2 linked regions of the Oryctolagus cuniculus genome follow. The protein of the gene in region 2 interacts with the protein of the main gene of each other region in a biochemical or structural test. Links are inferred from orthologs where the notes say so. Each region holds a gene or a part of one and is shown on either strand. Other genes may lie near its edges.

What was found.
Region 1: the proteins of DLG1 (region 2) and PKP4 interact in a test that uses a peptide from one of them, tested with the Homo sapiens proteins (2 studies listed by IntAct, with this or other methods). The link is inferred for Oryctolagus cuniculus from reciprocal best matches to the Homo sapiens genes DLG1 and PKP4.

The regions. Positions count from the first base shown.
Region 1 is NC_091434.1:83,369,559-83,373,213, reverse strand, and holds part of PKP4 (plakophilin-4), read left to right. Parts: intron 1-1,898; coding exon 1,899-2,448; intron 2,449-3,655. UniProt on the Homo sapiens protein: Plays a role as a regulator of Rho activity during cytokinesis. May play a role in junctional plaques.
Region 2 is NC_091435.1:83,519,847-83,523,501, reverse strand, and holds part of DLG1 (disks large homolog 1), read left to right. Parts: intron 1-1,496; coding exon 1,497-1,606; intron 1,607-3,655. UniProt on the Homo sapiens protein: Essential multidomain scaffolding protein required for normal development. Recruits channels, receptors and signaling molecules to discrete plasma membrane domains in polarized cells.

The DNA.
Region 1 (3,655 bases), on a different chromosome or scaffold from region 2:
AGAAACATTAAGAAACCTTTTTGGATTAAAACAAACACAAATATAGCACATGGGAAATCGAGCAAGCTCCTCCAAGCTGCCCTCCCAGTCCTTCAAATACACATTTATTCCTTTGCTTTTAAGGATTCTTTAGTGGAAAAGTTTGAGACGCTTTGGACTAAATGCCTACGGGAGTTCATCGACTTAGGTGAATTTCTGTGTCAGCAGATCTGAAGTCATTCTTTTTGTCAGCAATTACCTTCACTGTAGCAACTACGTTTTTCCATGTCACAGTGATTATGTTACCTATTTTTTAACTTGCAGTAAATTGATTTTGTTCCTGAAGCTGAGAAATTATGTAGCAAAGGGGTCTCTAAGACTTATTTTGTATGTAGTTTTGGCAACACATTGTTTAGCTATCTAGGTCAAATGTTGTTCCATTTTGATAGCTACAAGTCGTGTGAGATTGTCTTTTCTTATTGTTAGCACTGTTGTTACCCCAGCACACATATTAACTTCCCAACTGCTTATTAAATTTTAAGTTTCATCTTTCTTGCCTTTTTTAACTTATCATCGTTCTTGCTTTGTTTACATACTGTCCTCTTGCCTCCTCAGCTTTGCTTCTTCAAGGCTATTGTCTTCCCACAATTGTGGAACTTGAGCACACTTGAGGTGTCAGAGCAGGTGTTTCAATCAGTTCAGTTGCTTGTGTCACCTGCCAGCAAAGCATATATGCTCTTAGGACATCAAAGAGTGTACAAAGTCCATCTCTTATCCTTGTTTCTTTCCTTATTGTCACAATTAAAAATGGAAGGGGTTGATGGCAAATGGACTCTAGCAATCAGGAGATAACAGGGCACCCTGGTCCTGGGCCTGTAACCTGGAGCCCTTATGTCAGTTTCCATTTCTTATCCTGCTCTCCTTTTTCCCAATGCCTCTTCCCCCGCACTACATGTCCTCACCCACTTATATGGTCCAGATACTGTTCGTCTTCATTGTTGTTCAGCATCAAGAAAGGCATCTGCCACCTGCTATGTTTGCAGCAGCCTATGGATTCTTATCAGAATCAGCCATGGCAGAAATATTCAATTCCTATTCAGGTCTTTTCCAGCTTGCTGAGCCAGGAACTCAGCCAAGACCTTGAGCATTCCTCCTATTGGGACAGATTTGGGGGAATCTTTCTTTACATGTTCTCAAAATTGCTTAGCTAATGCTAAGTGCTACAGATCAGAGAAGGTAAAAAGAAATGGCTAAAATCAGTAGAAGCTACACTTAAACCAAAGGAACAACAAATTAGGCTAGAGCACCTGTGCAGCCAAGCTGTCCCTTGAAGTAAATTCACAGGGAAGAGCAGTGGAGCCAGAGTCTACCCAAATGTTCACTTATTGCACATTTAAAGAACACATTCCTTTTGTTAATGGGGCCAGCCCAGAAAGACTGGACAATTATAAATTCTCCTGTGGCTACATTTAAACTGATGTATTTTTTTAATCCTTTCTGTTTTACAAAAATACATTACCTTTGGCTCACAGGGAATGAAATAAGTACATTGCACCTGTGGTCCTTACAAATAAGTTATTAGTAACACTTGTAATAAAACATTGTGTATGTTGTGAAAAAGGCATAGGTAGAAGGTAAAAAATGTAAAGACAAAAATAAAAAGGAATATCACATGTATTCAGTTGTCTTTACTGGTTCATTTTAGTGTTCAGACTAAACGACCAAAAAAAAATGCATTACAAGAAGAGCACTGTGAGAAAAAATTAAGATCTAACTCTAGGGCATGAAAAGGAAGAGAAACTTAGATGACTAAAATAAGCAGTGAGTTCACATTCTGTAGTGAGCTATGTGCATTTTTTTCTGTAATGGACACAAAACCCTGGATAAACCCAATTCTCTTTTCTCCCCCCTTCCATCAGCCATCAGTAGCCAATCGGGCCATGAGAAGAGTTAGTTCAGTTCCATCTAGAGCGCAGTCTCCTTCTTATGTTATCAGCACAGGCGTGTCTCCTTCAAGGGGGTCACTGAGAACTTCTCTGGGTAGTGGATTTGGCTCTCCATCGGTGACGGACTCCCGACCTCTGAACCCCAGTGCATACTCGTCCACCACATTGCCCGCTCAGCGGGCAGCCTCTCCGTACTCACAGAGACCCGCCTCCCCAACAGCCGTGCGCCGGATTGGGTCAGTCACCTCCCGGCAGACCTCCAATCCCAACGGACCAACCCCTCAGTACCAAACCACCACCAGAGTGGGGTCCCCGCTGACCCTCACGGATGCACAGACTCGAGTAGCTTCCCCATCCCAAGGCCAGGTGGGGTCATCGTCCCCCAAACGCTCAGGGATGACTGCCGTACCACAGCATCTGGGACCTTCACTGCAAAGGACTGTTCATGACATGGAGCAATTCGGACAGCAGCAGTATGACATTTACGAGAGGATGGTTCCACCTCGGCCAGACAGCCTGACAGGTGAGTACCAGGCGGTGGCCCGCCAGATAGCCAGCCTAGTGAGGAAATCTGGGGAAATATAGCTGAAACAAGTATAGCATGGGAAAGAGCTTGTTTTTATCTCAAGATTTACACTGTAGGGGCCGGCGCCATGGCGCAGTAGGTTAATCCTCTGCCGGCAGCATTGGCATCCCATATGGGCACCTGTTCAAGACCCGGCTGCTCCTCTTCTGATCCAGCTCTCTGCTATGGCAGGGGAAAGCAGTAGAGAATGGCCCAAGTGCTTGGGCCCCTGCACCCTCATGGGAGACCGGAAGAGGCTCCTGGCTCCTGGCTTCTGATCGGCGCAGCTCCAACCGTTGCAACCAACTGGGGAGTGAAGCAACTAAGGAAGACGGTCTCTTCCTCTTACTGTCTGTAACTCTACCTCTCAAATAAATAAATAAAATCTTTAAAAAAAAAATAAGAAAAAGAAAGACTTACACTGTAAATTTCAGTTTTGTTTGTCTTTTGAGCTCTATAAATCTGAATCCATGAAATTATATACATTTGCATCAGCAGAATTTGAGTTGAATTAAATGTTTCCCCCTCAAAATATTAAAATGCACTTTCTTGAATTTTAGAAGAATTGGTTGGAATTCGAATCAAGCTGTTTCTTGATTTTGTTTAAATACACTTATTTATTTATCTGAAAGAGAGGCAGACAGAGAAAGAAAAGCTCCCATCTATTGGTTCACACCCCCAATGCCTACCACAGCTAAGGCCAAAGCCAGGAGCCAAGAGCTCAGTCTGGATCTCCTGTATGGGTGGAAGAGACTCAACTATTTGAGCCATCACCTGCTTCTTCCCAGAGTGTGTGTTAACAGGAACCTAGAGTTTGGAACTGAGCCAGGACACACATCCGGACACTCCAGAATGGGATGTGAGCATCTCAGTCACTAAGGCCAAAGGCTCACCCTCTGATTTGTTTTTTTAATGAAAGATTTTTCACCAGTCAGGCCTACCCTACATCTACCCATAAGTTATGTTCAAGATGGTTTCAGAATATTTTTAACATAACATACTTAATTTTTTTCCTATAGCAATGCTTTGGTAATTATAGACTAAGACATGAAGTTTACCCCCTACTTTGATTTTGGCATCCCAGTGGTAAATACACAATACTGTTAGGAATCCCCTTTAAATGCCACTCGGATTATGTCAGGAAGACACCGCGTGCCTAGTGCCT
Region 2 (3,655 bases):
CAGAAATTCTACTTATTCATGTCTAGGTATACATATATCCACAGTAGCACCTTATAATGTGAAAAATTGGAATCAACAGAAGGGAATGGATAGTCAACCCTCATTTATTCATGCAGTGGGATATAACAGCCAGAGTGCATAAATTTGTATATCTAGTAGTTAGGTGTATCCACATTGCTAAGTCTCAAAATTATAATAGTGAATTATAAAGTTTGCTTATGTAAATGTTAGAAAGTATAAAACAGCCAATAATAATATATGGATGCTTGTTTGTAAACAAAAACATGCATGAGAATAATACAGCTACTATCTCTTGGTTTCTTTTTAGAAGGGAAGAGAAGGAAATTAAAACCAGCTTTGGAGAATGTTTTATTTCTTGAAAAATAAAATTTTTAATTTCAAAACTCTTAGCCTAGATAAAAGATAGATATTATCCAGACTTCAGATTAGTAATAGGAAAGTAAACAGCAAATCCAAGTAAACTGTTTCATGTGCAAACCTTGTAGAGAGCAAAAGCAATCTCAAGAAAGAAAAAAAAAGAATGGAAGAGATAAGAGGACAGCAAACATAAGTGGTCTAGTCGGTGAATTTAAGCATGTCAGAAAAGTTATTTAAAGTCAGAATTGAGATTTCCAGATGCCAATTTATGATAAAAGTTTTGCCAGTCCACATAAAATGAGAAGGAGAATAATGGTAGTGAGGTTTTACAAATTTAAACTTACTCAGTTTAGGATATTTACCCATTTTTCTAGGATCTTTTACCTTCTGCTGATCATATATTTTATGAAATTATGGTTATGATGAGAGTAGTTTGGGGTCTTTTTTTAAATGCTCTGTCTTACAAAATTAAAGATCAGCACCCTATATTGGTTGCCATTGAGAGAATACTAATCTTTGAACACCAGGAGTGTGAGAACTGTTTATAACTTTCTGAAATCTTACTTCAGGCTGGCGCCGCGGCTCACTAGGCTAATCCTCCGCCTTGTGGCGCTGGCACACCTGGTTCTAGTCCCTGTCGGGGCACCGGATTCTGTCCCGGTTCCCCCTCTTCCAGGCCAGCTCTCTGCTCTGGCCCGGGAGTGCAGTGGAGGATGGCCCAAGTGCTTGGGCCCTGCACCCCATGGGAGACCAGGAGAAGCACCTGGCTCCTGGCTTCGGATCAGCGCAGTGCGCCGGCCGCAGTGCACCAGCCATGGCGGCCATTGGAGGGTGAACCAACGGCAAAAGGAAGACCTTTCTCTCTGTCTCTCTCTCTCACTGTCCACTCTGCCTGTCCAAAAAAAAAAAAAAAAAAAAAATTCTTACTTCAATAGTGGAAAACTATTTACCCATAAATTTTATATTTTACTTCCCATCTAAAATTTGCTAACAGGATTGACAGATTTGCTTACAGTCAGTGAGTAAGCATACTCTAGTTATTGTGCCTGTTGGAAATGTACCTTTGATGTAAGTGAAGAGAAATGGTTCACTTGGTTTACTGCTTTACTCAATTTTAGGGCAAACACTGTATCCTCGATGTGTCCGGAAACGCCATAAAGAGATTGCAGATTGCACAACTTTACCCGATCTCCATTTTTATTAAACCCAAATCCATGGAAAATATTATGTAAGTGTCAATGCTTAAGTAATAGCCTCTAAATACAAATCCAGTTGTTGTTGTGTATTTCCTGCTCCTGTCTGTTTCTGCATTTGTAAAATGGAGATAAGTGTAGTGTGTATACTCACCTTCTAGGGTGTGGTGAAGATTGGGTAAGCACTATGTGATTAATGCTGTAAGCAGCAGCATTACTGAAGTATAAGATAACATGTATTAGAACTTGAAATGTAAATAGCCACATGTGTGGCCACTGAATTGGGTGGCATAGCTCTAAGGAAACCATTACAAGGATGAAAGAACGCATACCTGTTACTTAACAGAGGATAAAAAATAGAATTGACATAAAAAATTAAGAGCAAATAGAAACAAAGAATGGGTGGGCAAAAAGATAATAGTAGTAAGATATGGTATAAATTAAATATTTCAATAAATAGACTATTGTTGTCTTATTGCTAGACTAAATGCTAGATTAAAAGACAATGACTAGGCCGGCGCCGCGGCTCACTAGGCTAATCCTCCGCCTAGCGGCGCCGGCACACCGGGTTCTAGTCCTGGTCGGGGCGCCGGATTCTGTCCCGGTTGCTCCTCTTCCAGGCCAGCCCTCTGCTGTGGCCAGGGAGTGCAGTGGAGGATGGCCCAGGTGCTTGGGCCCTGCACCCCATGGGAGACCAGGAAAAGCACCTGGCTCCTGGCTCCTGCCATCGGATCAGCGTGGTGCGCTGGCCGCAGCGCGCTGGCCGCGGCGGCCATTGGAGGGTGAACCAACGGCAAAAGGAAGACCTTTCTCTCTGTCTCTCTCTCTCTCTGTCCACTCTGCCTGTCAAAAAAAAAAAAATAAAAAAAAAAGACAATGACTAAAAAGGATTAGCAGAATGGTTGATTAAAAACCAAATTATGGGGCCAGCGCCACGGCTCACTAGGTTAATCCTCCACTTTGCGGTGCCAGCACACAGGGTTCTAGTCCCGGTCAGGGCGCCGGATTCTGTCCCGGTTGCCCCTCTTCCAGGCCAGCTCTCTGCTGTGGCCAGGGAGTGCAGTGGAGGATGGCCCAAATCCTTGGGCCCTGCACCCCCATGGGAGACCAGAAGTACCTGGCTCCTGCTATCGGATCAGCGCGGTGCCCCGGCCGCAGCGCGCCGGCCGCGGCGGCCATTGGAGGGTGAACCAACAGCAAAAGGAAGACCTTTCTCTCTGTCTCTCTCTCTCACTGTCCACTCTGCCTGTCAAAAAATTTAAAAAAAAATTTTTTTTTAATTAAAAACCAAATTATGTGGTTTTCAAAAGAAACACTTGGGTTAGGCATTTGGCACCGCCGTTAAGGTGCTACAGAGGACAGCTACATCTCAAGTTGCAGTCCCTGGTTCAAGTCCTGGCCCTGCTTCTGATTTGACTTTCTGCTAAAGCGTAACTTAGGAGACAGCAGATGATGGCTGAAGTTCTTGGGTGCCTACTATCCACGTGGAAAACCCAGATTGAATTCCTGGTTTCTGGCTTTCATCCTGACTCAGCCCTGGCAGTTCACTAGCCTTGGCTAGTGAACCAGCAGATGAAAAATCTCTCCATCACTGTCTCTGTGTTTCAAATAAAATGAAAATAAATAAAGCAAGCAGGCAAGCAATGGGAAACAGCTTTGTTTAAAAAAAAAAATGATATACAGGCTGGCGCCACAGCTCACTAGGCTAATCCTCCGCCTGCGGCGCCGGCACACCGGGTTCTAGTCCCGGTCGAGGCACCGGATTCTGTACCAGTTGCCCCTCTTCCAGGCCAGCTCTCTGCTGTGGCCCAGGAGTGCAGTGGAGGATGGCCCAAGTGTTTGGGCCCTGCACCCCATGGGAGACCAGGAGAAGTACCTGGCTCCTGCCATTGGATCAGCGCGGTGCGCCGGCCGCAACGCACCAACCGCAGCAGCCATTGCGGGGTGAACCAACGGAAAAAGGAAGACCTTCCTCTCTGTCTCTCTCTCTGCCTGCAAAAAATTTTTAAAAAATAAAATTAAAAAAAATTTTTAAATGATATACCTTAAGTTTTAAGCTATGAAAAGATCAAAAGTAAGTAGAA